Ovis aries: one gene and its partner. The protein of the gene in region 2 binds, or shares a complex with, the protein of the main gene of each other region. Links are inferred from orthologs where the notes say so. Each region holds a gene or a part of one and is shown on either strand. Other genes may lie near its edges.

What was found.
Region 1: the proteins of CKB (region 2) and ASB9 are in contact, whole or in part, in a cryo-EM structure (PDB 6V9H), measured with the Homo sapiens proteins. The link is inferred for Ovis aries from reciprocal best matches to the Homo sapiens genes CKB and ASB9. Residues at the interface, in NP_001814.2 of Homo sapiens: Asn63, Pro64, Gly65, His66, Pro67, Tyr68, Ile69, Thr71, Arg130, Arg132, His191, Val198, Ser199, Pro200, Leu201, Leu202, Leu226, Trp228, Glu232, Ile238, Met240, Asn286, Arg292, Gly303, Lys304, His305, Glu306, Lys319, Arg320, Gly321; in NP_001026909.1 of Homo sapiens: Leu25, Asn27, Pro28, Leu29, Met30, Gly31, Asp32, Ala33, Val34, Ser35, Asp36, Trp37, Pro39, Glu42, Ile45, His46, Trp60, Ala67, Asp68, His69, Glu75, Ala100, Asp101, Trp102, Val111, Asp133, Leu134, Ser165, His166.

Annotation. Positions count from the first base shown.
Region 1 is NC_056080.1:13,444,416-13,448,217, forward strand, and holds part of ASB9 (ankyrin repeat and SOCS box protein 9), read right to left. Parts: intron 222-3,802; coding exon 114-221; intron 1-113. UniProt on the Homo sapiens protein: Substrate-recognition component of a cullin-5-RING E3 ubiquitin-protein ligase complex (ECS complex, also named CRL5 complex), which mediates the ubiquitination and subsequent proteasomal degradation of target proteins.
Region 2 is NC_056071.1:65,893,004-65,897,489, forward strand, and holds the start of CKB (creatine kinase B-type), read right to left. Parts: upstream 3,011-4,486; 5' UTR 2,943-3,010; intron 2,639-2,942; 5' UTR 2,627-2,638; coding exon 2,434-2,626; intron 2,252-2,433; coding exon 2,097-2,251; intron 2,021-2,096; coding exon 1,888-2,020; intron 1,584-1,887; coding exon 1,412-1,583; intron 796-1,411; coding exon 672-795; intron 521-671; coding exon 331-520; intron 250-330; coding exon 71-249; 3' UTR 1-70. UniProt on the Homo sapiens protein: Reversibly catalyzes the transfer of phosphate between ATP and various phosphogens (e.g. creatine phosphate).

The DNA of each region.
Region 1 (3,802 bases), on a different chromosome or scaffold from region 2:
CCCTCTTCATATTTCAAATCAGGCTAATAAAAAATGCTCGAAAGTATTTAGAAGGGATAGAAATAGTCATTTTTCAGTAGTGGCGTCGAAGATGGGGTTTGAGTTGTACTTACCTGAGCTCCATGCCTCAATAATATGCTTGCACAGGAGGGATGACCTCCAAGGCAGGCTTCATGCAATGGAGACACACGATCTGCCGTGATGAGGTTCACCGGCCACCCCTGGAGGAGGGAAATGGGCAGAGTGAGGAGTGCACTGGAACAGTTCTGTAGGGCTCAGCCATGAATCCACATTCTTTCAAAAGTTCACCTGGCTCACCTATGTGCTCAGTCACTCAGTGGTGTCTGACTCTTCGTGAGCCTATGGACTGTGGCCCAACAGGCTTCTCTGTCCACGGAATTCTCCAGGCAAGAATACTGGAGTGGGTTGCCATTTCCTTCTCCAGAGGATCTTCCTGACCCAGGGATCGAACCTGCATCTCCTGCACTGACAGGAGAGTTCTTTATGCTGAGCCATCAGGGAAGCCAATATATATTCTTCTGACTGCAGATTCATAAGAGTCCCTGACCCAGGTAAATTGTGTCTAAATCCCTGCCCCACAGACACTGTGAATACATGTCTGTACATGAAGCCACTAACGTAGAGGGTACTTTGTTACACAGCAAAACATGACCAAGACAGTCCAAAGCATTAGGTGAACCTCCATGGACAGAGAGGCAAAGGGACAATTTACACTCTCACTCCAGTAGTCTAGCGCTAAAGAAGCAAGAAAGTGTCTGAAAGGTCGTGGGGTTCTTCAACCTCTTGGAAAGTGTGCTCTCTAAGAGATGGATCCTGAACCTAATCCAAGCAGAACATCAAAAGAACTCAAGGAGAGGCTCCACAGACTCCCTGATCTTAGAATATATAATCTATTCCTAACAGGAAGAAACCAGGTACAATCAAAGTTCTTTTCCTTAGCATATGTCAATTAAGAGCATGGATAGTTTAATCAACATCTTGGTAATACTGGGTTAGTCAAAAAGTTCATTTGGGTTTTTCTGTAAGATGTCACAGAAAAACCCAAACGAACTTTTTGGTCAACTCAATATTATACCTTTTCTTCCCAGAATGCATGCAGGCTAAGTCGTTGCAGTCAAGTCTGACTCTGTGTGACCCTATGGACTGTAATCCAACAGGCTCCTCTGTCCAAGGGATTCTCTGGGCAAGAATACTGGAGTCAATTTCCATGCTCTTCTCCAAGGGAATCTTCCCAACCCAGGGATCGAAGCCAGGTCCCCTGCATTACAGGCAGATTCTTTACCATCTGAGCCACTAGGGAAGCCCAGAATAAATAAATTTTTCTGGAATAAATTTGCCTAAAATCATTCTATTAGATTATCTCACTCACCATCATCCCTAACACACATTCTTCTACTTTTGTGGGCCTTTTTTTCAGCCCCCCAGTCATGCTGTCCTTTGGGCTGTTACCCTCTGACAGGCAAGTCATGCATTTTGATATATCCCATCATTCTGGACACACACTTGAGTTCACAGGATCTCAGATCCAGAGATATTTTTTTAAGGTGGGTCTAGGAAGGGGTTCTGAAAGACTCAAAATAATCTGCTTGTAAACAAGAAACTTGAAAATCCATTTCAGCACTTTGCCATACTAGCTCTGCTGTTTGCAGGGAGGGATAGGGCTGTATCTTCCCTTCCTTCACAACCTCAAATCCCATCTGTATTAAACAAATGCTCCCTAACCCCTTGACTCGAGAAAAATTTGAATTGTAGCATTTATTCCCTTCACAAGCACTTCCCATGGACTTCACAGTGTAGCATCTTCTGTTTCATTACTGTCATTATTTTATTCAAGGCATTCCTCTCAAAGATCTGTTCTCAAATCCATTCTTTTCCCACTCTCAGCGTTCTCTGTTTATCCAGCCTCTTCCCCACACACTGGTAGAATACACCAGAAATTCACAGCAAAATGTTAACTGCATTTTTCTCTGTGCTACAGATCATGAGATGATAGAAGACTATTCTTTAAAGGAATTCTTTATTCAGAATTCCTCTATCACAAATATACTCCTATAGCCACTACTGCCATTTCAAAATCATTTAGGTGCTTATACATAAATCCAGGTAAATGAAAAAGCAAAAAAGAAATTATTTACATTCCAAAAATGTTCACCACTCATTACATATTCACATTACAAAGAAGTTCCTTTAAATTAAGCTTCCCTGTGCCAACTGAGGACTGTATTTACAGTTCATCACAGATATGCAATTTTGACTTGAAATGAACTGAGGCAGTTTGTCTGAAATATTGTCAAGTCTGAATCATATACCATTTAAGGTAATGTTTAACCCATTACTTCAGAGAGGGTCCAGTCTGCAGTGGGTTCTCAGAAAAAAACGGATCGAATAGCTGACCTTTAATTCTTCTGTCATCAATTGTCTGTCCCCTAATCTCAGCGTAGAGTCAGAAGTTCTGATGATTCCATGGGGCTGTGCAATACCAGGGCACCCATGGGTGACATAGTGCTTAGTACCTGGCAACTTTCTGTCTCAGCTCCAAATCATATGCCTACTCAGACAACCAACCAACCACAAGAAGGTTAGGCTTTATCATTTATCCTATCCACAGTTATCACTTCCTTCTCTACACTCAGCAGAAAGGAAGATCACAAACCTCCATCTCACTCACATTCATCCAAACACATCACTTCCTCCCTACTTTACCAAGGAGGTCAAAGCCATTTGATGTGAGAGCTTTCTACATTACCCTCCTCTCCACCCCTAACATCTCTTTATATTTCTCCAGTCTTCTTTTCTCCCATTGCTCCTTTCTCTGTGGGAGAAACTGATGAGCTCAGTCCAATAGCCCATGACCTCACCCGGTCCTCCCACCACCCCCAGGACTTTCCTTCATCTACCTTCTCATCTCATGCGTTCCCCTGCTCGCTCCTCTTCAGGTACACTTTCTTTTTGCTTTCAAAGTCCTCCCAGCCCTCAGTCCTGACCCTCTGAGAAGCACCCATTCAAGGCTCTTCATCCCTTCACTGGCCCCCCTTTTTTTCCAAAAATAGTCTATCCTCATTATCTCTACTTTTATACCTTCTCTCATTTTCTACCAACAGAATCCTGCTGATACCGCTTTTAAAGACCACCAGTGACTTTCAGAATCCAGTATGCCTTGCTCTGTTCCCCACCTCCTTCCATCTCTGAATCTGCAACATATTCATCCTGACCTCATGGAACTTGTGCCCTGGCTTCTAACACAGACTTCTACCTGAAATTATCTCCAGTCTCTGACTGCCTTTTTTTCTGTCTCTTTCACTAACTCTGTTCTTCTCCTCGTTACATCTCCTAATGCAGGCATTTCCTCAAGGATTTGCCCCCAAATCCTTTTCTTGTCTCTCAATACCCTCTATATATTACATATTGCTTTCAAATCTAAATCCCCAGCTCCAGTACATGTTCCTAATTCCCTGCTAAGACATAATCACCCAGAGACCCAGCTCATGACATAAATTTAGCCTTTGTCAACCAAACTCTCCTGAAAAGAGCTCCTTTTCTGCCAGACCTGATTCTCTGAATGGTACCACTATCTTCATTTCAAACCCAGGACTGAAATCTGAGAGAGGACAGCAGAATGATTACCGAGTTCAAATGCGGGCACCATCACCTAATTAAAAGTGTGACCTTGGGCCAGCTACTTTTCTCTCAAAGCCTCAATTTCCATCTGTAAAATGGGGACAATTTCACCTACCCTAACAGGTTGGTTATGAATACTTTAAAAATGATGTATGCAAAGTGT
Region 2 (4,486 bases):
GGGCACGGCCTGGGCAATAAGTTAGGAAGCAGCGGAGGAGCTGGTGGAGGCGGCAGATGTGGCCAGGGCCTCACTTCTGGGCCGGCATGAGGTCATCGATGGCCTGGCCCTGCTCCAGCCGCTGCTCCATCTCGATGAGCAGCTTCACGCCGTCCACCACCATCTGCACCAGCTCCACCTCCGAGAAGCCCAGGCGGTCCGCATTGGAGACGTCAAAGACCCCACCCACGGCGGCCGTGTCCACACCGCCTGGAGAGACAGCCAGTTCAGCGGGGCTGCGTCGGGGGCAGCCCCAGGGGAGCGTGCTGCCGCCTGGCACCCCCTACTCACCTGTGCCTCGCTTCTGAAGCCGCAGCCGCTTGAGCACCTCAGAGAACTTCTCGTGCTTGCCCAGGTGGGGCAGCTTGATGTGCACCCCGGCCCGCAGCCCCGTGCCCAGGTTGGACGGGCAGGTGAGGATGTAGCCCAGGTGCGGGTTCCACATGAACTCGTAGTTCTTAGACTTGAAGAGCGTTTCAATCTGGAAATGGACGTGTGAGAGGGTAGGCCTGGCTGAGCCACCCGCCCAGGGGACCAGCTGGAACAGGACCTGAGGCAACAAAGACCTGGGCTCCCCGGGGGGTTGATGGGTCACCTCCATCTCTGCCTGAACCCTGGGGCCTGGCCCTGACCTGGGTGAGGCCGTTGCAGAAGCGCGTGAACACCTCCTTCATGTTGCCACCCTTCTGCATGGAGATGACCCGCAGATGGTCCTCTTCGTTGATCCACACCAGGAAGGTCTTGTTATCGTTATGCCTGGGGGAGGGGCACAGTCAAGTCTCCTCCCCGGACGAGGACACATCCAGGAACAAAACCTCGCGAGGCCCCCGAGCCGGGGCACTTCCCAAGTAGCTGAGGTGCTCACTCCAGCTGTCCCTAGGGCCCCGGGGCTGCTATCAGGACTCTAGCCCCATCAACACCCTGGGCGCACACAGGGCACTTCAGAGAGGGCACGCGAAGCCCTGAGCTGCTTCCAGCTAGCCGGTCAGGCACCCTGTGGTCCCCACCTAGGGGGTGAGGGGCAGAGGCAGCCCGCCCCGCCCACGGGGAGTCGCTTTATCTCGGCGCAGACGCCCGGTGCCTGCGAGCCCGGCTCCCCACCCCCACTCGAGGAAGCGTCTGCGTCACCCCGCACCTGACCGACTCCCCGCGGGCGGCGGGTGGGAAAGGAGAGCGCAAACAAGGAGCCGCGGCTCCCGGAGGCGGGGGGAGGGAGGAGGAACGCCGGCAAGACGGCCCCACCCGCCCGGGGCGCTCCGCACCTGCGCGGTCAAGGTCTCCTGCGAGGAGGCCGGCACCAAACCCACCTGAGGAGCGCGGCGCCGCCCTCCTCCCTCAGGTACGGCGCGGGCGGAGGCCGGGGGATACGCACCAGATGCCGCGGGCGTCGGGCCAGTCGCGGGCCATGCCCGAGGCCAGCAGCAGGGGCGACACGGGCTTATCGAAAAGGAAGTGGTCGTCGATAAGCTGCTGCTGCTCCGCCTCCGTCATGCTTTTGAGCGCATAGTACCTCCCCGCCAGGTCACCGTCCAGGCTCGACAGGGCTGCGGAGGAGCGCGCTCAGGAGGACGGGTGGACTCCTGCCCCACCCCGCACCCCCAGGATGCCCGCTTGGCCTGGCTGGAGCCCAGTCAGTCCTCCCGGTCCGAGCGGCGGGCCGCTCCGGAGCGACACGGCCCAAGCCGACCATCGTCCGGCCCCAGGGCTCTGTGGGCGCGGGGCTGGGCGTCGGTCCCTCTGGGAAACCCGAGACGACGGACAGATAAGAGCGCGGCGGCTCGGGTGACTGGTAAACAGGCCGGCAGGGCCCGGGGCCGAAGAGCGCCGCTCAGCGGGCCGTACCCTTACCTTCGACGGCGAGCTTCTCGATGGCGCGGCGCTCCCCGCGGCTGCAGTGCGGGGGGAGGCAGAAGCCGCGGATGCTGCGGCCCGTGCGCACCCGCGAGCTCAGCACGTAGTTGGGATCCAGGTCGTCGCCGCCCTGGGGGCCGTGCAGGGCTGAGCGCTGGGCAACCCCTCCCCACCCAGCCGGCCCCTCGCCCCGGGCCACCCCGCACCTGCAGGTTGTCGGGGTTGAGGTCGGTCTTGTGCTCGTCGGTGGGCTTATAGCCTCCGTGCCGGTCCTCAATGATGGGGTCAAACAGCTCCTTGAACACGTCGTACGATTCCTCGTCGCCGGCCACACAGCCCACGGTCATGATATAGGGGTGGCCTGGGGGGAGCGTGGAATGGGGACAGTGACGTCACTGCCAGGCCCGAGCAAGCCACCGAGGACCCTTCAGATATGCGCGCAAAGAGGGCGCCCGGACCTTGGCCCGGGGGGAGCCAGGGAGCGGGGGCGCTGGGGCCCAGCCTCGGGCTCCTGTCCTGACCTCGGGACTGAGGCGCGCGTACCTGGGTTGTCCACGCCGGTTTGGATGACGTCGTCCACCGTGAAGCCGCTCGGGGTGCTCTTAGCGCGCAGCTCGGCGTACAGTTCGGGGGTCAGCACCTTGGCCATGTGGTTGTTGTGGCCGCTGAGGTCGGGGAACTCGTCTTCGGCCGGGAAGCGCAGCTTCAGCGTGTTGTGGCTATTGGAGAAGGGCATGGCGGCGGCGGGCTGCGGGGAGACGCGGGAGTCAGCGGGTCCCGAGGCTCTGGGCCTCCTGGTGACCTGCTAACCACCCAGGGCCCCGGGCTCCGGTCAGCCCGGTCTCGGTCAAGGTCAGAGGGGTCGGCGCTTACACGCAGGGGGCTACCACAGCGCCCAGGACCCCCGGCCCAACTGGCGCGCCCACTCCAGGCGGCGGACCCCGGGAGGTCCGGAGCGCGCGACACCCTGGCCCCAGCCCCCAGCTCCGTGCACAACAACCCCCGCCTCGGTGCCCGCGCGCCCCCCACCCCGGGCCCCCGGGCTCACTTACTGAGCAGTCGGGCAGGGGCGGGGGCTCTAGGTTAGTCTGCAGCTCAGGGCGCGGCGCAGGCGAACAGCGGCGGCTCCGCGCTCCCGCGGCTCTTAAGGGGCGCAACGCAGGCCGCCCATTGGCCGCTATTTATAGCCCATTCATTCCATTGGGTCGCGCTGCGGGGTGGTGCCGCCGCTTTGTCCGCCACCCTCTGCCCCCGGAGCCCCCCCACCCCACCCCGAGCAGCCCACCACGACTATCCCCTGGCCGGGACCCCGCGCAGCCTACCCAACCCCACCTCGCGCCCGCCAAGATCCCGAAGCCAGAACCTCAGGCCCTCGGACATTCCGGATTCCCCCACACCCACGCCTGCCTCCGAGCGGGAAACCGAGGCAGGAGAGCCGGCAGGCACTTGAGAACGCTCGGCCTGGTCGGCGCCCCGGCCCCTGCCTCTGCCCCTCCCGCTAGTCCTCGCGGTGGTCGCGGCGAGGGGCCAGGCGGGAGCCGTCCCGGGCTTCAACGGCAGGTACCGCCATCCCCCGACGCCCAACAACCCCCCCCCCCCCCCCCCCACCCCAACCTTCTCCCGCCCAGTCTGAGTTGGCGGCGAGCCGCCGACCTTCTTCAAGGTGCCCGCAGGCATCTCCCCGGCGATCTTGGTGCAGAGCGAAGGCACGCCGGAGGCGCAGCCTGGCTGCGGCCCAGCCAGGCGGCACCCTTGGTGCCGTGACCTTGGGCAAGTCCCCGGGCTTTGGGGTCATCTGAGCCTGAGACTCAGCCCCTCCTGGTTGATGAGCGAATACTGACTGCGGCCCTGCTGGGAAGTGCGCAGTCTCAGAGCCCCCAGCCCCAGGCCTGGGCCCTCTCTTCCAGGGACAAGTCCATTTCCACACCCCACCCCAAAGGTCGTCCTCAGAGAATCTCCGCAGAGGCTGGAGGAAATACTCACATAAGCACATGTGAGTTTTAAAAAACAAAAAGCTCACTGAAAATCAGAATCATGCAATTCAAAGTAATGACTATGCCTTCCACTGTCCCCAGCACCCCAGACTGGCACCAGCCAGTGTTGGCTATGGGCTGGAATGTGGGGAGATAGGCATTCACAGGCTGCCTGCCACTGTGAAGTGCTACATCAGTTTTGGAAAGTAATTTGGCAGTATTTATTAAAACGTAAAATCTTTGTACTCCATGACCCGGTGACCCGGCAATCCCACTTGTAGGAATCCAGCCTACAGTCTCATCTCTCTGTGCACATAGGCCAGTCCTCTCTAGCATGAGGAACAAGCACAAACAGACCTGCATGTAACCGGATGCCCATCCCTTGGGGACTGGCCGGGGGCAGGGAAGGCATCTCTCCAGTGTGGAATATTACACGGCTATTAAAAAGCGTGAATTAGGGACTTCCCTGGTGGTGCAGTGGATGAAAGTCCAGCGACCAGTGCAGGGGACAGGGATTCTCGCCCTAGTCCAGGAAGACCCCACCTGCCCAAGGGGCAGCGAAGTCTGTGCGCCAGAACTACTGAGCCCCGAGGGCAGAGAAGCCACCGCCAGAAGAAGCCCGC